Elephas maximus indicus: one gene and its partners. The protein of the gene in region 3 purifies or fractionates together with the protein of the main gene of each other region. This does not show direct contact. Links are inferred from orthologs where the notes say so. Each region holds a gene or a part of one and is shown on either strand. Other genes may lie near its edges.

Region 1 (7,813 bases), on a different chromosome or scaffold from region 3:
ATTCAAAAAGCACTTCCATTTGCCTTTGGAATTTAAAACGTGGTTTTGTTTTGCACCAGACATATTCTCAGGATGCTGGGTTTTGACTAACGATAAAATGAACATCCCCCTCCTTTCCATTTTATACTAGAGTAGAAGCTAAGGAGTTCACAGGTGGCAAGGAAAAGATACAATGCTGATATCGATAAAGCAATTATGTTACATGTAGACACAGAGTTCAAAAGCACTCACATAAGCCTGCCAACGTTATATGCAGGCAAATGGCTGCGGCTCTGCTCCCCGTCCATTCTTCTGAGCTGCCCCAAAGAGCTTCTGTAGGTCTCTAGATGCTTGTACCTCAATGTGAAATGTGTAATCACTTGCCTGTGCACGTGTCAGAAAAGGTGGAGAGAGCAAAAAGATTTAATGCGGAGATTGTGTCAGTAAGTTCTCAGCAGTTACTGTCTCTGACGAGCCAGCTGCTCTGTAGGAGGGCAGGAGAGAGGATGTGAAGGGGTATACAAACCCAAAAAAACACAATGCAGGCAAAATACAGAGAACACTGGGATTTCAGGCCAGATGGATATCTAGCCAGGAGAATACACTGTCCTTAGATGTGTTTAGATTGGCATTGCAGAGACGCACCCTTCCAATCCGGAAGCTTCTGCCCAGTATTTATTTGGGCTCAGCAAATGCTGAGCACTAAAAAGAAAGTAGAATTACATACACATGCCCCGTAATGCTCCCGGTCCACAAAAAAAAGAAACAAGACACAAACACGTTTAAAATTAAATCAGTAATCACCAAGGGTATAAATTTCATACTTATCCAAAATGCATTCAATATTAAGGCTTAACTGTGTGACTCTATGATGAGTATGGAGCTCTGCTGGCACAGTGGTTATGAGCTCGGCTGCTGTCTTAGTCATCTAGTGCTGGTGTAACAGAAATACCACGAATGGATGGCTTTAACAAAGAAAAATTTACTTTCTCCCAGTCTAGTAGGTTACAAGTCCAAATTCAGGGCATCGGCTCCATGGGAAGGTTTTCCATTTCTGTCGGCTCTGGAGGAAGGTCCTTGTCATCAATCTTCCCCTGGACCAGGAGCTTCTCCGCACAGAAACCCTGGGTCCAAAGGACTCCCTCTGCTCCCAGCACTGCTTTCTTGGTGGCATGAGGTAACCCCCCTCTCTGCTTGCTTTCCTTTCATCTCTTGTAAGATACAAGGTAGTGCAGGCCACACTTCAGGGAAGCTCCCTTTCACTGGATCAGGGATGTGACCTTAGTAAGGGTGTTACAATCTCACCCTAATCCTCTTTAACAGAAAATTACAATCACAAAATGCAGGACAGGCACACAATAATAGGAATCATGGCCTAACCAAGTTGACACATATTTTGGGGGGACACAATTCAATCCATGACAGCTGCTAACTAAAACGTCGGCAGTTCAAACCCACCAGTCACTCCATGGAAACCCTATGGGGCAGTTCTACTCTGTCCTGTAGGGTTCCCATGATTTGGAATCGACTTGACGGCAACAGGTTTGGGGTTTTTTTGGTTTGGTATAATAAGCACATTAGAGAGATCACTCTCTGGGAGTTTTCAATCCAAAAGGAAACATCCCAAATCAATGAAATCAACTGTGGCTTATCCATGATATAACAGGTACAAAGTAAAGCAGCTGACAGAAGATTAGACTAAATCCAAAAGTCTTGCTTCCCTGTTCCAGTCTTCGCACCATGTGTTCACAGGCAAGCTGCCTAACCTACGCCTCAGCTTCTTCACGAGGACCCTAATCTCACAGGCTTGTTGGGAGAAATACTCATCAAACCTGAGGTCCAGCCTTCAGCCAAAGATCAGACAGGCCTACAGAGCCAAGCCCTGGTGGTGTAGTGGGTAAGAGTTCTGGCTGCTAACCAAAAGGTCGGCAGTTCAAATCTACTAGGCACTCCTTGGAAACTCTATGGTACAGCTCTACTCTGTCCTATAGGTCTCTATGAGTTGGAATCGACACGACAGCAGGCAGTGGGTTTGGTTTAGGTTTTTATAGGGCCAATGTTAACACACATGAAGAATGGGCTTCGTAGCTCAATCATATACACAAGACTAAAGGGCACACTAGCCCAAAAGCAAACACAAGAAGGCACAGGAAAACTGGACAAATGGAAACCGGGAACCGGGATGCAGAAGGCGAGACTGTTAACACATCATGGGGATGGTGACCAATATCACAAAACAATCTGTGTACTAACTGTTTAATGAGAAATTAATTTGCTCTGTAAACTTTCACCTGAAGCACAATAAAAGGAAAAAAAAAAAAAAACTCATCAAAATGCTAGCAAACAGAATCCAGTACCATGTAAAAAGGATTACACACCCAAACCAAGTAGGATTTATCCCAGAAATACCAGGCTGATTTAACATACGAAAATCAATCAACGTAATATGCTGTATTTATAGAATAAAGAACAAAAACATGATCATCTCAATAGACACACACACACACAAACAAATCTGACAAATCCAAAATCCATAATAAAAACACTCAAAAACTGGGACTAGAAGGAAACTTCTTCAATCTGATAAAGGTCATCTGCAAAAAGCCCACAGCTAACATCATATGTACAGGTGAAAGACTGAATGTTTTCTCCCTAACAGAGGGGGAAGGGGCAGCTCTTGCCACTTTTATTCAGTATTGTACCCTAGGTTCTGGCAATGGCAATTAGCAAGAAACAAAAAGTAAAAGACATCTGAATTGGAAAGGAAGAAGTTAAATTTATTTCACGTGGCATGATCTCGTATATAAGGAAAAACCTAAAGTGTTCACAAAAAGAACTGTTAGAACCAATAAATGAGTTTAGCGATGCTGCAGGATGCAAACTCAATATTCGAAAGTCAACTGTTTTTCTATATGTTAGCAATTAACAATCTGAATGAAATTAAGAAAGCAATTCCATTTGATGGGGGAAAGGGCTGGGACAACTGGATTTTCACGTGCAGAAAAATGAAAAAGGATCCATGTCTCACATCACACACACAAAAAAATAAAAATGGATTAAGGACTTAAACGTGCAAACTAAAACCATAAAACTCTTAGAACAAGAAAAAAGGGCAACACTGTCAAGCCTAGCTTTTAAAAATGGATTATCTAATCTAATAACAAAAGCACAAACAGAAAAAGACAAAATAAATAAATGAGACTTCATGAAAATTAAAAACTTCTACTCATCAAAATACTTAACCAAAAAATGAAAAGACAAACTACTGACTAGGAGAATATCTTCAGAAACCATATATCCAACAAGAATCTATTAAGCAAAATATGTATAAAACTTGAACAACTTAACAACAAAAAGACAAATAATCCAATTATAAAATGGGCAAAGGACTTGGACGTTTCACCAAAGAGGACACTCAATTGGCCACCAACACATGGAAAGATGTTCAGTGTTATTACCCACCTGAAAGATGCAAATCAAAACTACAATGAGATACCATTTCACCCCCACTAGAACGGCTAAGGAAACCCTGGTGGCATAGTGGTTAAGAGCTATGCCTGCTAACCAAAAGGCTGGCAGTTCAAATCCACCAGGCGCACCCTGGAAACCCTATGGGGCAGTTCTACTTCTGTCCTAATAGGGTCGCTATGTGTCGAAATCGACTCAGTGGCAATGGCTTAGGATGGCTAAACAAAAAAAAAAGAAAATAACAAATGTTGGCGAGGATGTGGGGAAACTGGAACCCTTACCTGCTGCTGGTGGGAATGTAACATGGTATAGCTGTTACAGAAAACAGTGTGGCAATTCTCCCAAAAACTAAAAATAGAACTACCATATGACCCAGCGATTCTACTCCTAGGTATATACCCAAAAGACTTGAAAACAGAGACTCAAAAAGAGACTTGTATGTCAGTGTTCACTGCAGCACTATTCACAACAGCCAAAAGGTGGAAACTACCTAAATGCCCATTAACAAATGAACGCATAAACAATATGTGGTATGTATGTACAATGGAATACTACTCAGCCAGTAGGAGAAATGAAGTGTTGATACATGCTACTGTATGGATTGAGTTTGAAGACATTATACTGAGTGAAATAAGCCAATCAGAAAAGGACAAATATTGTATGACCTCACTTATATAAAAAGACAAAAAAAGGCAAATGTATAGAGACGAAAGTTTATTAGTGGTTACCAGGGATGGAAGGGAAGGGGAAATGGGGGGTTAACTGTGATAGAAAAATCCCACTGGTTAAGGGTAGAGCTGCACAGCTGATCGTTGTAATTGCTGTCAAGAAGTTGTACACCTGTAAAAACGTTGTGTGATATATATATATTTACAACAATGACCAAAAGAAGAAGAAGGAAAAAAAAAAACAGTAGCTACTGAGGCTTGTACAACCAACATTTCACGGATTTGGTTCCTTGGTTTGGAGGTTTACGGTCCTGGTTTCATGGGACATCCCAGTTAACTGGGCTAATATTTAGTGCTTAGTGCATGTTTAGTGCTTCTATTCTACCTCCTAGTTCATTGCGTAGTGCCTGAGGTCTTAAAAGCTTCCAAGCGGCCAACCAAGGCTCAACAATTGATCTCTATTCACCTGGAGGAAGAAGGAAAAGTCAGGAACAGGAGGATACGGAATGTGTGGCTAACTGCCACCATGATCTGCTGCTTCCTTTGCCTCGAGACCAGGAGAACTGCACGGTGCCCGGTTACCATTACTGAATATTTTGATCTAAGATTCCACAGAAGAATCCTGATCAAAAGGGAGAAAATACAGAACAGAAATTCAATTTTTCATGGACTCGAGACTTTCTGCAGCCATGGAGGGTGGATAAAACCCCTGAAACTATTGTACTAAGATGATCTTTAAACCTTAAAACAAAAAATGTCCCCTGAAGTCAACTTAGAACAATAAGTTTAGCTTAACTTGTAAAAAGGTCTGCCTGAGCATTATGCTCTTATAAGAGCTATCTATATGGGATCAAATTGACAACAGCAACTGGAAAGATAAGAACCACAGGGGGTAGTAAGTTCATGCTAATGAGGAGAAACAACTCGGAAAAAGAGGGAGAGAATGGTTGCACAACTCAAAGAATATAATCAATGCCATTAAATTGTACACGTAGAAACTGTTGAATTGGTGCACGTTTTGCTGTATATATTCTCAGCAACAACAACAAACTAAATAAAATTTAGGAAAAAAAAAGAAAGCAATTCCATTTACAATAGTATTAGAATAAAATAGCTAGGAAATAAGTTAACAAAGGAAGTACCAGACTTGTACAGTGAAAACTACAAAATATTGCCAAAAAAAAAGTAAAGACCTAAATAAATGAAAACATCCATGTTTATGGATTGGCAGGCTTAATATTATTAAGATGGTAATATTCCCCAAACTGATCTACAGACTCAGTGCAATCCCTATCAAAATCTTTTTTTTTTTTTTTTTTGAAAAGCTGATCCTAAAATTCATATGGAAATGCAGGTGACCCATAATAGTCAAACCATCTTGGGGAAAACAAAAACAAACAACAAAGCTGGAGGGCTCACACTTTACTGTTTTAAAATCTACTATAAAACTACAGTGGGGTACTGGCTTAAGAACAGTATATAGATCAATGGGATAAAATTGGAATCCAGAAATTTATGGTTAATTACTTTTTGACATAGATGTTAAGACAATTCAATGGAAAAAAAAGTTTTTTTCAATAACTGGTGATGGGACAACTGCCAGATGCAGAAGAATAAGGTTGGCCCCTCACAACATAAATACTCAAAATGGTTCACAGACCAAACATAACAGCTAAAACTATAAAACTCTTAGAAGACACAGGAGTAAATCTTTGTGGCCTTGAGTTAGGTAATGGTTTCCTAGACATGACACCAAAAGCACATGCAACAAAAGGGGAAAAAAAAAAGATAAACAGGACTTCAACAAAATTAAAAATGTTGGTGCTTCAAAGGACACCATCAAGAAAATAAAAAGACAACCCACAGAATGGGAGAAAATGTTTGTAAATAATGTATCTGACAAGAAATCTGTATTTAGAATATATAAAGAACTCTTAGGAATGAACAATGAAAAGACAAATAACCCAATTTAAAAAATGGGCAAAAAAATTTCACAGATAGTTTTCAAAGAAGACATACAAATGCCCAATAAGCACATGAAAAGATGTTCAATGCCATTAGTCATTAGGGAAATGCAAATCAAAAGCATAATGAGATACCACTTCACACACCGTCTAGGATGGCTAAAATTAAAGAGAGACAATGGTAAGTGCTGTGGATGTGGAGAAACTGGGACCCTCATCCACTGCTGGTGGGAGTGAAAAACGGTGTACCCCATTTGGAAAACACTGTGGCAGTTCCTCACAACTCTAAGCATAAAGTTACCATAGGATCCAGCACTTCCGCTCCTATTTATACCCAAATAAAGTAGAAAGATGTGTTCAAACACGTGTACATACATGTTGATAACAGCACTATGCACACAGCCAAACAGTGGAAACAGCTCAACTATCCATCAATAGATGAATAAATAAACAATGTAGTATATACACAATGGAATATTATTCAGTCATAAAAAGGAAGGAAGCACCAGTATATGCTATGACATGGATGAACCTTGTATGATTCCATTTTTATGAGGCATCCAGAATAGATAACTCCATACAGACAGAAAGAAGACTGGCGGTTTCCAGGGGCTATAAGGAGAGTATAGTGAGTGACTGTTAATGATTACCGGGTTTCTTTTTGGGGTGTGAAAACGTTCTGGAATTAGATAGCGGTGAGGCCCCTGGGTGGTGCAAACTGTTTGTGCTTCATTACTAACCTAAAGGTTGGCCGTTCAGACCCACCCAGCACTGCCACAGAAGAAAGGCCCGGTGCTGCATTCAGAAAGATTATGGCCAAGAAAAGGAACCCCGGCTGCGCAGCGCTTAAGTACTCAGCTACTAACTGAAAGGTCAGTGGTTTGAATCCACCAGCCACTCTGCAGAAGAAAGACGTGGCAGCCTGCTTCTGTAAAGATTACAGCCTTGGGAACCCTGTGGGGCAGTTCTACCCTGTCCTACAGGGTCGCTCTGAGTCGAAATTGACTTGACGGCAATGGGTTTACAGCCAAGAAAACCCTATGAAGCAGGTTTACTCTGTAACACATGGGGTCATTACGAGTTGGGATCGACTTGATGGCAATGGGTCTGGATTTAAGAATCCTGGGTGGTGCAAACGGTTAAGTGCTCAACTAACCAAAAGGTTGGCAGTCCGAACCCACCCAGAGGCACCACGGAAGACAGGCTTGCTGATCTGCTTCCAAAAGGTTAAAGCCACAAAAGCCCTACAGAGAGCAGTTCTACCCTGCAACACAACAGGGTCACCACGAATCAGAATCAACTCAATGGCAACTGGTCTGGTTTGGGTTTTTTTTTTTTTTTTTTTTCTATGTCGTTCATCTTTGTGATACACTAAATGGCACTGAACTGTTCGCTTTAAAATGGTTAACTTTGTTATCTGAATTCCACCTCAATAAATTATTTAAAAAACACACACAGTGAAATAGCACTTCACATCCACTAGGATGGCTTGTAATAAAAAATACAGATAATAACAAGTGTTGGCAAGAATGCGGACAATTCAGAACCCTCACACATTGCTGGTAAGAATGTAAAATGGTGTAGGTACTTTGGAAAACAGTTTGGCAGTTCCTCAAAATGTTGAACATTCAGCTACCATATGATCTAACAATTCTACTCATAGGTGTATACCCAAGAGAAATGAAAATATATGTCCATAGATAAACTTGTACACAAATGTTCATAGCAGTATTA
Region 2 (7,912 bases), on a different chromosome or scaffold from region 3:
GGAGCCTTACGGAACCTAAAATACAAAGGGCTCACAGTGAGCCTATGGGAGATCATAGAATGTATAAGACCCCAGATTCTACCTGATATTCAATAGGTCTACATCAGGGAATCCCTGGGTGGCACAAACAGTTAAGTGAGCAGTTAACTGAAAGGCTGGTGATTCGAACCCACCCAGAAGTGTACAGAAGAAAGGCCTGGCAATCTGCTTCTGAAAGGTCACAGCGTTGAAAACCCTATGAAGCAGTTCTACTCTGCAACACACGGGGTCGCTGTGAGTAGGGACTGACTCGATGGCAACTGATTTTTGGTTCTGAGTCTAAATTAGTGGTTCTCAACTGGAGGTGATTTTGCCCCCAAGGGGATCTGGAGCCCTGGTGGCACAGTGGTTAAGAGCCACTACGATTTTTTTTTTGGGGGGGGGCGTTTTAGTTTTTCATTTATATTAAGTCTGCAGGGTTTTCTGTTTTGTTTTTTACGACACACAACAAATACTTTAATATAATCTAATAAAATAGTTGAACAATTTTTTTTTTAGATTTACATTTGTATAGAAACAATCTGTGGAACTCCTCAAAACAAAAGTGTCTAAAATAATTGGTTAAAAGCTGCAGTTTCCATTCTCAGCTGAAATATGTCTCCATGCAGTTTCCCTTGGTCCAAAGCTTAAGGCCTTGGGAAGGTGGCCAACCTAACCAAAAGGTTGGCAGTTCCAATCCACCAGCTGCTCCTTGAAACCCTATGGGGCAGTTCTACTCTGTCCTATACGGTTGTTATGAGTCAGAATCGACTCGACGGCAATGGTTTGGGTTATTTTTGTTTGGTTTGGTGACATTTTTGGTTGTCTCAAAAGGAGGTGTGCTAATGACATTTAGCAGGTAGATGCCAGGGATTATGCTAAACATCTTTAAATATACAAGATAGTCCTGTCCCCCTCAACAAAAAACTATCCGGTCCAAATCGTCAACAGTGGGGAGGTTGAGAAGCACTGGTCTGTAGGCAATGGACAAGGCATGGAGCACAGCAGAGGAGGTAGGGTAGGGGCAGGGCAGGTTTAAAAGGTCCATAGGTGCGGGGGTCTTAGAGCAAAGTAGGCACAGATCGGGGACCACATAGGGGCCTGGGTTCTCTGCAGGGTCCAGTGTCTACAGGATATTGAGCGGATGACCCAGGGTCTCCAAGGACCCCTGGGTGCCTTCAAGATCCTAAAATACAGAAGGATCAAGGTGAGTCTATAACAGGCCCTTAAATATGCATAAGGCCCCCGATTCTATTTGACACATGGTGGATCTACAGGAATTCGGGGTTCATACGGGGTCAGGATTCAATAGGGGAAGTAGCCAGTCTATGGGGCCTCTGAAGACTTAAAAGGGCCGCAGAATTCTATACGTGCGTGTGGTGGGTCCAGAGACTCAGGTCTATGGCGCTCTGGATTCTAGAGGACGCTCTTGATCTAAGTGGGCCTCACGTCTATAAGAAACCGGGTCTCTACGGGGGCCTAATAGGAACCTGGAGGGTATGCAAAACCTTGCAATCTATCTGGAACGTGGCAGGTCTACAGGAACCCCAAATCTTGCAGAGGACGTGGCGGTTCTATCTATACAAGCCCCAAATCCTACAAAGGACTCAGCGGTGTACGGGGCCGGGCCATGCCGGGGCGTACGTTGGGAGTCAGACTCTGACCCCCCCGGGGCGGGGTTCCTCACCTGCTCCAGGTCCGAGAAGCCGCAGCTGCCGCTGGAACCGAAGCCTCCGCACGCCCGCTCCGGACTCCCCCCACCCTCACCGCCGAGCCGCTCTAGCCACCTCAGAGTCCGCCTTTGCGCTCAGCTCTACTCCTCCCGGCAGGCGCTCTAGCCCGGCTCCTGCCTGGCTCATGCCTCAGCGACTCCACTCCTCCCGCCGCCCGCTCTAGCTCTCCACCGCGCCACGCTGGCCAGACAGGGCCGCTCTGGCCAGCCTTGGAGGGCTGGGGTTTCCGTATCTCGACTGCCCGCGTCACTCTCCCGGGCCCCGCCCCTCAACCCCCGCCCGGAGGTGGGGATGGTTCCAGCCCGCACAGCAGAGCCAAAGGCGAGGTATCCGAGTCGCCTGGGCCCTGGGTCCCTGGATCTCGGACTGGGGCTTCCTCCCTATCCTGTCTCCCTACTTGTGACGAGCTGAATTCTCAACGCGTGTACATCCCCCAGCACTTTCCTTTGGGGCTGGAAAGCAAAAATCCTGGGTTCGAGCCCAGTTTTGTTTCGGACATGCAGTGTATCCTGGAAGAAGTCTCAGTCATCCCATCTGTACAATGGGGGAAGGTCTTCAGCTCTCTCCTCTACACCCATCTCCTAGGACATAATTAATGACCTCCAAACGCTTTAAAATTTTTTTTTTTCTTTCTAAACGCTTTCAAACACACTCCATTGGCAACTATCAGTTTCATCAGCGGCCTATAGCCTTGTTATTGTTTTTCTTTTTAGACGGCCCAGAGCACGCGGGGTTGGAGCAAGGCGCTTAGCGGAAAGCACCTGAGAGTTCAAATATCAACTCAACAGTTTCGGGATGTGTGCGCCCTCGAGCGAGTCGGTTCGGCTCCCTGGGCCTCAGTTTCCCCACCCGTGCAACAGGGTGATTATCCGTCCCCCGCTGAGCAATCGAGAGGCATTGACCCCGGCCGCGAACCCTTTATCCCCATCCACTGAGCGCTCGGCTTGTATTAGTTTCCCTCTCGTTGCCCCTTTGACAGATGGGAAGACTGAGGCCCAGGGAGGGGCAGCCGCCGGCGCAGTGGAGCCCTGGAGAGGCCGCTCCACGGCCTGCAGCGCCCCAGCCCCTCCACCTCCGTCCCTACTTCCCCCAGCAGCGGAGGGGAGGGGGGCGGGCGGGGCCGGGGACGGTGTACCTGGTGTCCGCGCGGGGAGGTGACCGGCGGGGCGCCCGGGGTCGGGCTCGGCGATCCCCGGCCCTGCGTCCCGGCTCCCGCTTCCTGGCTCCGGCGGGGCAGGAAGTTGGGGCGTTTTTCCGGAGGCCCCCGCCCCGCCGCCCCTCCCCGCTTCCTGCCCGCGCCCCGCGCCCTCCCGGCACCTCCGCTTCCTTCCCCTTCTCGCCGCTTGGGTCTCCGCAAGTCCCGGCCCCACCCTGGCCCCGCCCGAGCTCTGCCCGGCTTTGTCCGTCTGTCGGTCCGCAGGGCGCGGGCTCCACGCTGCTCATATCTCTCTGTCCGAGTGTCCGCCCGCACAGCCCTGGCGGGGAGGGCCGGGCGGGGGGTGAGTGTCACTGTCCGCCACCGCAATCGGAGCAACACCCTCGCCTGGTTTCCTCACCGTGGTTCGGCTTCTCCGCCCGGTGTCGCTTGGTCTCCCTCTCTTGCTTTGCCTCTGTGTGTCTCTCTCGCTGTTGCCTTTTCTTCTCTGTCTCTAGTCCCTCTCTCACCCCCTTTCTTGGTTAGGGTCTTTCCCTAGCCTCTGCTTCTCCCTGTGTCTCCTCCTCCTCTGTCATTTTCTCCCTCAGAATCCTTCTCTTCCCATCTCTGCAACTGTCTGTGTGTCTGTCTGTGTCTTTCTGCCTCTTCGTGTCAGTTCTCATCATTTCCCCAGTCTTGCTGGCTCAGTACCTCTAGGCCCTTCTTCCTGCTCTCTCCCTTTCTCTCTTGGTCACTCTTTCTCCCTCTCTATCTGCCCTCGTGGCTTTGTCTCCCTTGAAACTCCAGTGTCTCTTTACTGTCTTTTCCTTCACTTGCTCAGTGTCTCCATCACTCTCTCTCTCTGCATCTCAAGAACTTAGTACCTATCTCAGGAACTTTGTATCACTGTACCTTTCTGTCACTGCCCCCTGAGTGTCTTCACCAGCCTCAAGTTAGGAATACAGATGCTACAAATCACCCTTGCACAAGTCCACCCATAGAGAAAAGGTGTGGCCAAAGTCAGGGAATTCAATACTATCCCCCAAGATAGTCCTCCAGTTTGCAGGGCTTAAATGTGCATAAATATGGTAGCCTTACCCCCGCCCCCCACATCCCCAACATATATGCACAACACAGCCCCCTCCTGCTCAGGGACAGGGCCTGGGGTGGGGCCCTGGGTGGGGCCAAACCACTCCTTTTCATTGGGGTGGAAAGCACCCCAAGACACTTCCTGTTTCTTTCACGGGAGTAACTAAGCCTGGCTACCTGATCCCAGTTGTGGGGGATAGACAGTGGAGAGCTGAGACCCAGAATCCAGGAGGGAGCTGGGGACTGGTCTTCTGAATCTGAGAGAGAAGGGGGCTGGGAGCCTGCACCTCTAGGTCTGAGGGAGGAGGGGGCTGGGGGCCTGGACTTCTGGTCCCCTGGGGTGGGGATGGCTCAGTCCCCATGAGATCCATGACTCCTGCCAAATGCTGCAGTTGGGAAGGATTTATTATCACTAAGTGGCCATGACAGAGCAGGGGTGGGGAGTGGAGAGGGGGGTACTAATAAGGCTGCTACTATCAGCTCCCCTTGAGGCAGCGATTAAGGGCTCATTACCCGCCAGGGAGGGAGCAGGGAGCTGGGAAAGGAGGCAGGGTGTGTAGAGGGAGTGAAGACAGTGTAGAAGGAAGAGCTGCCCCCTGGGCAGGGTCTACGTGTTTCAGAGTTCCAGGAGACCTAGGAGGGAGAAGACTCCTCTAGGATACTCCCAAAGGGGAAGATGACTTTCAGGGAAGAAGGTGAAGAGAGAGAGAGAAGAATGTTCCAGGGGGAGTGAGGAAAGACCCTAGAGTTGGGAATACAGCAGGCAGGGCAGCTGGCCAGGGTCACGGCTTCTCCAGCTGGACGTCTCCGACGTGGAGGCTGCCCACGTCCTGGTAGGTGCCCTGGAGGCCCCGGGAGATGTCCTCGTACATGGAGCAATCATCGATGTTCAGGCCCTGGGGTGGACGTGCAGCAGTGGACATCAGTGCCTGGGGTCTCTACCGCAGCCAGCCCCAGGGAGGAGCCCCATGTCCAGCCCCCAGTGCACCTGCTCTTACCCTGTCCCCACCCTCCACTCACCTCGTACAGATTTTCATCCTCATAGTCATCATGGATGTCCACCCTGAACTTCTCATTCTGCCATCGTTTCTGGGGGGGGGTGCAGTTTGGGGGCCTCAGTGAGCAAAGGGAGGCTGATAGATTCTAAGACCCTCCTGGATGGGAAGGGGTGCTTTACCAGCGTGATTCCCCTGAGTGCTGCCTACAGTCACCTGGGGAGCGAGCTCTGACCACTTCCCTTTACAGGAGGGGAAACTGAGGCTCAGGAAGGGCAAGGGGTATGTCCAAGGTCACATCTGTTGAGTGGCATGTCTCTCTGGAGCCAAAGCTAGTGAGTCTCATTTTGGCTCTGTTATTTGGCGTTGTTATTCTCCATGAGTAAGAATCCTAATATAATAATAATAGCAATCAGTGCTCTGCTGGTATGAGTTGAGACCAGGCAGGTCAGAGACTGTAGGAGAAACCCAGCCCCCATCTTCCCAGCCTTGGCATCTGGGGGCTACTTTCGAGGAGAGTGAGACAACTGAGGGGGGGAGTGAGGATAGCTCTGGGGGGTAGAGTGAGGACAGCCCTGGGGGGAGAGTGAGGACACCCTCCAAAGACACCCCTGACTGGGGGAGAGTAAGCAAGGAAGCACCTCTGGACCTGGCCCCACTCTGAGTCCTCTCATTGTATTAGCTCCTTTAACCCCATAGGCCCTGTGATGTGGGTGCTCACATTCTCCCAGGTATTCTCCCAGGTTTTAGAGGGGACCCTCAGAATCAGGGAGGGCAGGTTGGGCACTGAGCTGTGCCACCCTGCCCTCATCCAGCTGGCCTAGGGTCCCGGGGTAGCTCACCCTGAACAGCAGCAGCGTCCCAGGCACCACGGCGCAGAAGAGCAGGATGATTCCCTCGGCTGTGATGATGCGGTTCTTGGTGCCCTCCCCCATGTCCAGGAAGGGTCTAGGGAGCGGCTCTGCAAGGAGGGGTGCTGCTTGGAGCCCCGGTGCCTCCTGCCCGCCCCTCCCAGCAAGGCCCACAATGCAGATGAGAAACTCCTGCTGTGTCTGAGCCCGCCCCAGCCAGAGGTGAAGAACTGGCTCTGTCCCTACTTCACAGACAGAAACCGAGCATCCCCCTTGGGGCAGTGGCCAGCCGTGGCACCAGGACCCGGGACACTCACCGCGCACACGGAGGTAGGTGCCACAGGATTGCCAGGTTTTGTTGTCTTGTTGCACCCGGCACTGGTATATGCCCCCGTGGCTCTTGTTCACCTGTGGGATGGTCAGCCTGCCGTCCGGGCCCTCGCCTGAGCCCAGGAACACGGGTGGCCATGTGCTGGTGTAGTTGCCAGAGAGGATGAGCCACCATGTGACATTGGGGTTACTGCCATTGTTGGGGCACTGCAGGTGGGCCTCATTCCCCACGATCACTGTCACTGAAGGTGGGTCCCAGGCCACCCACAGGGCCTGGCACCCGGGGCCTGCGGAGAGGAGGGTGTGGATCAAAGACTAGGGATGGGGACAAAGGTCCCCAGCCTGAGCTGCTAGGATGCAACACTCCTGGGTGCAGTGGGGAGGAGTATGAGACACCCTTGGAGGGGAGAGTGAGGACACCCCTGGTGGGAGGAGAATGAATACACCCTTGGTTGAGGGAGAGTGAAGACACCCCTGGCTGGGGTAGAGCGAAGACACCCCTGGTGGGGGGAAAGTGAAGACACTCCTGGTTGGGGGAGAGCAAATACACCCCTGGTAGGGGGAGAGCGAAGACACCCCTGGTTGAGGGAGAGCAAAGACACCCCTGGTGGGGGGAGAAGACACCCCTGGTGGAGGGAGAGTGAAGACACCCCTGGTGAGGGGAGAGCGAAGATACCCCTGGTGGGGGAAGAACAAAGACATCTCTAGTTGGGGAAGAACAAAGACACTTCTGGTGGGGGAAGAGAGAAGATACCCCTGAGGGAGGAGAGCAAAGACACCCCTTGGGGGAAGTAAGATGCCCCTGGGGTGGGAAGAGTGAGGACACCTCTGGAGGAGGGAGGGAGGACGTTCTGGGGGAGGAGAATGAGACACCCCTGGAGGGCCCTACTCTATTCTCCAGTGCCATCTCTTACCCCACACCCCACTTTATGCTTTGACCCCACTGAACTCTTTGGCTTTGGGATGTTTGGTTCCTTAGCACCGGAAGTGACCCTGCCCACATAAACCAAAATAACCCTGTTGCTATGGAGCTTATTGCAACTCATAGCGACCCTGTATGTCAGAGTAGAACTGCCCCATAGGACTTCCAAGGCTGTCATCTTTACGGAAGGAGACTGCCACATCTTTCTCCCACAGAGTGGCTAGTGGGTTCAAACCACCGATCTTTTGGTTAGTAGCCAAGCACTTTAACCACTGCGCCACCAGGGCTCCTTCCTGCCCACATAGCTCCTTCCAAGACCAATTTCACGTCACCTCCTCCTGGAGGTGTTTCCTGTGGCCGCTTTCCCACCCTCAGCCCCTGTCTCTCTGTAATCTGCACAGAAACCTTAGAGACAGATTCTCCCATCATCACCTTTTTACAGGTGGGACGGCTGGCTGGCTGAGGCCCAGGGAGGGCACACAGCTTACCAGAGTCCCCAGTCAGGGGTGGCACCGAGTTCAAACTGTGGTCTCCCTGGGCCTCCTCCCCTGGACTGAGGGGTCAGTCTTTGGATCCTGCCTTCCCTTGTAGCCTTGGGCCCCTTCCTCTTCCTCAGTAATTTGTGTCAACCTGGGGGTTGGGTGAGTTCAGTTTTGGGGCTGGCCTGGGGGCTGGGTGGCGCAGCAGGGAGTTGGTGTGAGGGAATCAGGGTGGCCTACCTAGGCTGGCTGTGGTATCTGAACATAGCTCCGCTTGGCTGTCAGGGGAAGCTCTAGTACCCAGCCCTCCCCAGCCAGTCCACACCACCAGCTGCCCTATCTTGAAGAGGCAGGAGGTGG
Region 3 (7,864 bases):
TGAAAACTCTGTGGCGTTTACCTTATTTTTATCTTGTTTGGTAATATACTTATAGATAGCTAAGACAGATAACAATTCAAGATTTCTTAGGCCATGATTCTGGGTACATTGTTGTATTGTGGACGTCACTGAATAAAGGGTGCTGACATCAAGAATTGTTAAATATCATTAAAATAAAGTCACAATATTTTAAAAAAGCCAATCTCTTACCAGTTGAAATTCTCGACGCCGGTCATAGGCATGCTGTATGCCACTATCTGCCCATAAGGCTCTTATAGCAGGAAGATACTGTAGGAACACCCTGGTTTCCACCATTCCCTGGGCCGCCATGGGTGACCGTGTGTCAAATGCCATCATCTTCTCTCCATTGAATTGGTTTGTATTATCTCCCCAAGGAATGTGAAGCTTCTCTCGAGCATCTACCAGCACCCTCATGCCTTTGTTTAAAAAAAAAAAAAAGTATGGGGAGGAGTCATTAAACATTCTTATATGTTTTACTCCTTAGAAAACACCAGAATTTCTTTCTTAGACCTCTTAACTACTCCAGGCCCACCTCCTCCAAAAATGAAGACCAACATTAAACATCCACCCTTAACTTCTCAGATTTTAAAAACTCTTGCTCACACTCCTAAAATGAGAACCTTGGAGAGCAAATACTGATAACACACTTGCTCCTTCTGAAGGATTTTAAAATGTACTAATTTATAAAATAACTTCCGGGGTAAAAAGTGGTCACAAGACAGCCAAAACCACTGAAGGAAAAAGAAACTATGCTGCACAGCCTGATGTCCAGGCTCTGAAGGAAAGGAGTCCGTCCAAAAGGCATTCATCTACCAAATGCCAAGAACTAGGCGTTACCATTCTGCATTGCTTGTCCCCTAGGCACCCTGCCTAACCCCAACCCTGAGTCTTCTAGGAACACCTTAAAAACTCAAAAACTTCTCCTAGACCAAGCTTCGAATCAATCTAAGTTACAGGATGGCCTTAGATTTCCCTAAAAGGTAGGAAGACCAACAGCAAAAAGATACAAAACCAGGCATTTCAACTCAGAGGTTAGTTCAAATCCAGTATTTCTATTACTAAACTGTTAGGGTCTTAACAATCGCACACCTTTAGGTCATTTGGATAACTGAAAAAACTATTCCGCTGTCAATTTTTGCAACAAGCCAACACCTACAAAAAAACTAATGTCTAATGACCTCATCTCATTATCAATACTCAAAACGGGTCTCATTTCCGACGCAGTGTACATTAAGAACCAGTTGTTTACCTGGCCCATAATCAGTTAAAATGTTGAATCTATTCATTAACATAATTCCTTAAATTCGGCTGCAGCAAGATACAAAGGTACCTTCAATTAAGGGCTGGCAAGGCAGAGGCAGTGGCCTTGAAAGAGACCTTAATTAGGTTTCCTGCTGACCATTAAGGCAGAGTAAATACAACTGCTTTTCACAGCTTAACTGGAGGGGTACCAGGGCTAAGGGCTCACTGTGGTCTGTAAACCCCAGGCTGAGCTTTTTCTCTGGCTCCTAACCCACACTGCCTCCCTCTCTGGAGCAGTTTTCCTCTACCAAACCCTGGGAGAGAAAGGAAAAAAAAAAAAAAGTGACATGAAAGACTTTCTTAAGCACTTCCTGAACAAAAATCCCACGGAAAAAAACACTGCTTGACAAGATATGAAATCGGTAGCAAACTACCAGATAATTGCTACCCAGACAAAATAGAGAATCCTGATGCATCTGAAGTATTTTAAGCTAAAAATATTGGAAACTAACAGAAAGGAATGCTAATTATCATTCCAATCACAAAATAAAAACCATCGTCTCTAATTCTTTGAAAGTTCAGAAATAAAAATCCTGTGTACTTCTCACTTAAGAACAACGTTTACCATTTTAATTAATTAAAAAAAAAATACTGTCAAACAGAAGCGGAGTCTATGATCCAACCCCATCCCATGCTAACTCACTGACTCAACCTGTGCGGGACTCACATCACCTTTAGACCAAAAATTCTTCATATTATTACACAATTGCACTGAAGCAGTACACCCCCATATCCCCTACCCCTTATTTAGCAAAAAGGAGAGCAGAACATATTGCACACAGACTACAGGCAAACATCCTGCCTGACCGTGACAATGAGGTGAAAAACCACTGATGCTAATTTTTCAGAGTTACTGTATGGGTCTCCTCTTTCCTGGTGCCAGCAAAGTGAAAACGACACCCTCAAGTTTCACATCCTTTCCCAAAAGAGTCCCAAAAGCTGTCACCCTTCGCCCTTGACAAGTCTCTGGCAAAAGTTTCCTCATTGCCGACGGTTCCAGAACTCCCTTGCTCAGGAGGCGGTCAAGGAAACCATGCAACTCGGGTCACCCACCCGGGGCAGCGAGGTTCGGCCGACAGCTCTGGGGCAGGGGAGAAAGGGGCAGGGTCTGGGGTCGGCTCTCGGGTTTTCCAGCCTCGTCTGGAAGGAGGAACACAGGCCAGGTGACCCGCACCCCGAGGCACCCGGCTCTCCTAACTTCCCTCTCGGAGGAGCCAGAGCTGGAAATGGGGTGGGGGTGGGGGCTGGCCGTGACCCCCAAGGGGGCAGCAAGGAGAAAGCTGGGCGCCCACCGAGCATTCCCTGAGCCGACGGAGAGGGCGCCCGGGGACTGGCAGGGCCAGGGCCCGGGGCGCGCCCCCTTGCCGCCCGCCCAGCTCGTGCGCGAGGCACGGAGTGCGCGAGGGCGGTGCCCGGCCTCGGGCCCCCGGCCCCTGCCGAGCCGGCCCTTCCTTCGCCCCCGGCCGAGCCCAGCACCTTTGATCACGTTGCTGTAGATGGTGGGGCGGAACTCCTCGCGCGCGCGCTGGTCGAAGTCCTGCCCGTGGATGATCCGCATCTGCTTCAGGAAGGTGGACTTGCCGCTCTCGCCCGCGCCCAGCAGCAGGATCTTCACCAGCCGCTTCACGTAGGTCTTCTCCCGGGACAGGCATTTGTCGATCTCCTTGGACTTGCGCTGCTGCTCGGCCTCGCCGCTCGTCAGCACGCAGCCGGGGAAGCACACGGACAGCACGGACCGCGACGGCAGGAAGTCCGCCATCTTGCCGCCGCCGCCGCCTCGGCGGGCCCCTCCGGCTCCCTCCACCTCCTCCGCGGGCGGCGGGCGGCTCGGGCTCCGCGGCTCAAGGGCGGGGAGCGCTGCGGCGGCCCGAGCGCGCCCGGGGAGGGAGGGAACGAGCGAACTGACTCGCAGGGCGAGCCGGCCAGGGCGGGCCGGGAGAGCCGGGGAGGGAGGGAAGGAGGCGGGCCCGGGAGGGGCGGTGGCCCCGGCAGCGTGCGCGCGCCTGCCGCCTCCCGGGGGCGCGCGCGCACGGCCTCCGCAGCCCCAGTCTCGTGGCGGGCCCGGGCCGGCGAATCACGCGGTCGCTCGCTGGCTGGTGTGTCCGCGGCCGCCGCCGGGCCCGCGCCAGGAGGCCGGGAGCCGCGGTCACGTGGTCTCGGGCCTGGCGGGACGCAGTGGGCGCGGCGGACGCCTGCGGAGCGCGACTTTCTGTTTCTTTTTAATTAAGGCCTGCTCCGTGGAGCCGGCTGCCGAGTCCCAGACGCTGCCCTTTGGGCTCCCTCTCTCCCGAGAAAGGCCGCCCTTTCTCCCGAGTTTCATGGCCGCCGCCTGCTGTCAGCGTTCCCTCGCCTTATTTCGAAGCCATTGGGTCAAAAGTGATTCAAACAACGGGCGCCAGTCTGAAAGGTTTTTGGTGCATTTTCTTACGGTGGCACCCTTGATGCTAAGTCAAGATCGTCCGTCCTTCCTTCCAGCTCTTGGTGGCATTCTCAGACCCCTGCAAGTATCCCCCTTTGGGGAGAAAGAACTGGAGTTGATATTAATCTGAGATGTGCTAGGAGGGTCTGTTAACAGCTCCCTAACGTGGATCCCTGCCCGAGCTGCGTAATGCTGTGCAGCGCTACAATCGGGATGGTAGCGGCAGAGGGTGAGGTCATGGTGAAAATCCCCCAAACCGGACACTGTGATGCAGGCTCTTCCCTACAAGGAAGCGAAAAGCAAACTCACCGAGGACGAGAGCAGGCACATTTTAGGTTTCCCGCGGGATTACAGAGGATATGACCAGCCAAGGGACTTTTCTGCCCTACCAGCAGATTCAGAGCAGGACACCTGAAAGGGCTGCCCGGAAGACAAGCCTGACAAGTGACAACGGGGTTGGCAGGGAGACTCGGGTAGCAAGGACCCAACCGACGTTTTCATTCTTAGTGTTCAGTTTCAAGTGGAAAAAGCCGGTTTAATCTGCCTGTTTGGGGGCAGTGCAACCTAATGCTCCTTGGTGTGGGCTCCTGTAGTGTGGAAACTTCCTGTGTGTCAGGGAATTGGGGCAAGGGGTCAGGACTTGGAGAAGCTCCTAAGCAGTCAAATTTAAAAATCACTGCTAATCAGTGACTGTTACGGGTTGGATTAATGACTGAACAGCCTCATGACTCAGAAAGTTTGCAGTGAACAATGCCTGTAGTAGGGTTGTCTCCTTTGCCCAGCCAAGCCCAGGGGTGGACAATCTACAATATACAAAGTAGGATGGGCTCACTCCTGTATCTGTGGGTTGATAGGGTCGGAATACTGGGTAGTGCTGTCAGGCGACATGAATGGTAAAACTGTACCCTGAGTGAAGGATCACTTTCTAGTCTCAGCAAGTCCATGAAAGATTAATTTCTGCCCAGTGCAGGGTATAGCATCTGTCCCAAGCATGGATCGTATGGGGACTCCAGGTGCTAATCTGAGCTCTGCTGCAAAGACAGGAGGAGGGAAGTCTATGTTAGGTAGCTGGCATCTTTTTTTTTTCCTTCCAAAAGTATGTGCTATATAATGGAGAACCAAGGATGCCTAGAAGGCAGGAGGGTATTCCTGCCCAGCCAGTTCATGTTCCAACATGCAGAGCAGCAGAGAAAGCTGTTCAAAGCCCTACCTGTAGCCTTGCCTTGGAACAAGCCTGGCTCTAATGGAGCCGGGTTGCACTAAGCAGTGGTTCTGGAAAAAAGACCTTTTTGAGCCCAGCCTGAGGCTCAGCTGCAGCTGTCCAACAGCCTCTAACTGTCCAGTGATCAAGACTCCTTGTAATTGTGAAAATAAAAATGAACTAGGGGTTTATTGGTACCTTAAAAAGTTAAACACAAGATTACCATATGATCTAGCAATTCTACCTATAGGTATACCCCAAAGGATTGAAAGCAGGCATTCAAACAAAAACTTGTACATGAATGTATGTAGCAGCACTATTACCAAAAGCTGGAAACGATCAAATTCTCATGAACTAATAAACAAAATGTGGTAATATACATGTTGTTGTTGTTGTTAGTTGCCATCAATTCAACTCTGACTCCTAGTGACCCCATGTATGCAGAGGAGAACACCACTCTATTGAGTTTTCAAGGTTGTGACCTTTCAAAAAGCAGATTGTCAAGTCTGTCTTCCAAGGCACCTCTGGGTGGGTTCCAGCCGCCAACCTTTGGTCTCGCAAGTAGTTAATTGTTTAACTGTTTCGTCACCCAGGGACGTATGATGGAATATTATTTGGCTATAAAAAGGGATGAAGTACTGACACATGCTACAATATAGATGAACCTTGAAGACTTATGCTAAGTGAAAGAAACCAGGCACAACGGGCCACATATTGAATGATCCCACTTACATGAAACATCCAGAATAGGAAAATCCACAGAGAATGAAGGGGGGCTAGTGGTTGCCAGGGGGTGGAGAGGGGAGGAGGGGAGATGGGAAGTGACTGCTTAAGAGGTACACCCATTGCCTTCCTTGGAAACCCTGGTGGTGTGGTGGTTAAGAGCTATGGCTGCCTGCTGGTGTGAATGTAAAATGGTACAACCACTTTGGAAATCGATTTGGTGCTTCCTTAAAAATCTAGAAATAGAACTACTATATGATCCAACAATCTCACTCCTTGGAATATATCCTAGAGAAATAAGAGCTTTTACACAAACGGATATATGCACACCCATGTTCATTGCAGCACTATTTACAATAGCAAAAAATGGAAGCAACCAAGGTGCCCATCAATGGATGACTGGATAAATAAATTATGGTATATTCACACAATGGAATACTACGCATCGATAAAGAACAGTGATGAATTTGTGAAACATTTCATAACACGAAGGAACCTGGAAGGCATTATGCTGAGTGAAATTAGTTGCAAAAGGACAAATACTGTATAAGACCACTATTATAAGAACTCAAGAAATAGTTTAAACAGAGAAGAAAATATTCTTCGATGGTTACGAGAAGGGGGAGGGAGGGAGGGCGGGAGGGGGTATTCACTAATTAGATAGTAGATAAGAACTACTTTAGGTGACGGGAAAGGCAACACACAATACAAGGGAGGTCAGCACAACTGGACTAAACCAAAAGCAAAGAAGTTTCCGGAATAAACTGAATGCTTTGAAGGCCAGCGTAGCAGGGGTGGGGGTTTGGGGACCATGGTTTCAGGGGACATCTAAGTCAATTGGCATAATAAAATCTATTAAGAAAACATTCTGCATCCCACCTTGGAGAGAGGCGTCTGGGGTCTTAAACGCTAACAAGCGGCCATCTAAGATGCATCAATCGGTCTCAACCCACCTGGATCAAAGGAGAACGAAGAACACCAAGAACACAAGGTAATTATGAGCCCAAGAGACAGAAAAGGTCACGTAAACCAGACGCTACATCAGCCTGAGACCAGAAGAGCTAGATGGTGCCTGGCTACAACTGATGACTGCCCTGACAGGGAACACAACAGAGAACCCCTGAGGGAGCATGAGAGCAGTGGGATGCAGACCCCAAATTCTCATAAAAAGACCAGACTTAATGGTCTGACTGAGACTAGAAGGACCCCAGTGGTCATGGCCCCCAGACCTTCTGTTGGCCCAGGGCAGGAATCATTCCCAAAGCCAACTCTTCAGACATGGATTGGACTGTGCAATGGGTTGGAGAGGGATGCTGGTGAGGAGTGAGCTTCTTGGATCAGGTGGACACTTGAGACTATGTTGGCATCTCCTGCCTGAAGGGGAGATGAGAGGGTAGAGGAGGTTAGAAGCTGACGAAAGGACACAAAAAGAGAGAGTAGAGGGAGGGAGCGGGCTGTCTCATTAGGAGGAGAGCAATTGGGAGTATGTAGCAAGGTGTATATAAGTTTTTGTGTGAGAGACTGACTTGATTTGTAAACTTTCACTTAAAGCACAAAAAAAAAAAAAAAAAAAAAAAAAAGAGCTACAGCTGCTAACCAGAAGGTCAGCAGTTTGAATCCACCAGGCGCTCCTTGGAAACCCTATGGGGCAATTCTACTCCGTCCTGTAGGGTCACTATGAGTCAGAATCGACTCAACAGCAGCAGGTTTATAGCCGTCCTTGAGTTGATTCTGACTTAGTGACCCTATAGAACAGAGTAGAACTACCCCGTACACTTTCCAAGGCTGTAGTGTTTATGGAAGCAGACTGCCACATCGTTCTCCCACAGATCAGCTGGTGGGTTCGAATTGACGGCCTCTCAGTTAGCAGCTGAATGTTTAACCACTGCACCACCAGGGGTCCTTACTTAATAGGTACAGGTTTTCCTTTTGAGGTGTGAAAGTGTTCTGGATCTAGATAGAGATGATGGTTGCACGACATTATAAATATACTAAATACCACTGAATTGTACACTTTAAAAATGGTTAAAATGGTGAATTTTATGTTATGTGACTTTTGCCACGTAGAGAAAAATGAGTTAGGGAGTACATTTTCCATTAAAAAAAAAATCACTAACATCATTTAACATTGAAATGCCCACTGTGTGCATTACTCAATGAATGAAAGTGCCATTATGTTTATTTTTAAAACAAGAGTA

Evidence for each region.
Region 1: the proteins of GNA13 (region 3) and ARHGEF11 purify together in Homo sapiens (affinity purification with western blotting; 3 studies listed by BioGRID). This does not show direct contact. The link is inferred for Elephas maximus indicus from reciprocal best matches to the Homo sapiens genes GNA13 and ARHGEF11.
Region 2: the proteins of GNA13 (region 3) and ARHGEF1 purify together in Homo sapiens (affinity purification with western blotting; 5 studies listed by BioGRID and IntAct, with this or other methods). This does not show direct contact. The link is inferred for Elephas maximus indicus from reciprocal best matches to the Homo sapiens genes GNA13 and ARHGEF1.

What each region holds. Positions count from the first base shown.
Region 1 is NC_064821.1:194,781,617-194,789,429, forward strand, and holds the start of ARHGEF11 (rho guanine nucleotide exchange factor 11), read right to left. Parts: upstream 3,110-7,813; 5' UTR 288-3,109; coding exon 232-287; intron 1-231. UniProt on the Homo sapiens protein: May play a role in the regulation of RhoA GTPase by guanine nucleotide-binding alpha-12 (GNA12) and alpha-13 (GNA13). Acts as guanine nucleotide exchange factor (GEF) for RhoA GTPase and may act as GTPase-activating protein (GAP) for GNA12 and GNA13.
Region 2 is NC_064829.1:109,035,313-109,043,224, forward strand, and holds the start of ARHGEF1 (rho guanine nucleotide exchange factor 1), read right to left. Parts: upstream 3,110-7,912; 5' UTR 2,887-3,109; intron 1-2,886. Other genes in the region: CD79A (B-cell antigen receptor complex-associated protein alpha chain), read right to left, coding at 4,758-4,871, 4,996-5,064, 5,813-5,931, 6,139-6,438. UniProt on the Homo sapiens protein: Seems to play a role in the regulation of RhoA GTPase by guanine nucleotide-binding alpha-12 (GNA12) and alpha-13 (GNA13) subunits. Acts as a GTPase-activating protein (GAP) for GNA12 and GNA13, and as guanine nucleotide exchange factor (GEF) for RhoA GTPase.
Region 3 is NC_064837.1:58,617,227-58,625,090, reverse strand, and holds the start of GNA13 (guanine nucleotide-binding protein subunit alpha-13), read right to left. Parts: upstream 3,310-7,864; 5' UTR 3,083-3,309; coding exon 2,800-3,082; intron 438-2,799; coding exon 211-437; intron 1-210. UniProt on the Homo sapiens protein: Guanine nucleotide-binding proteins (G proteins) are involved as modulators or transducers in various transmembrane signaling systems.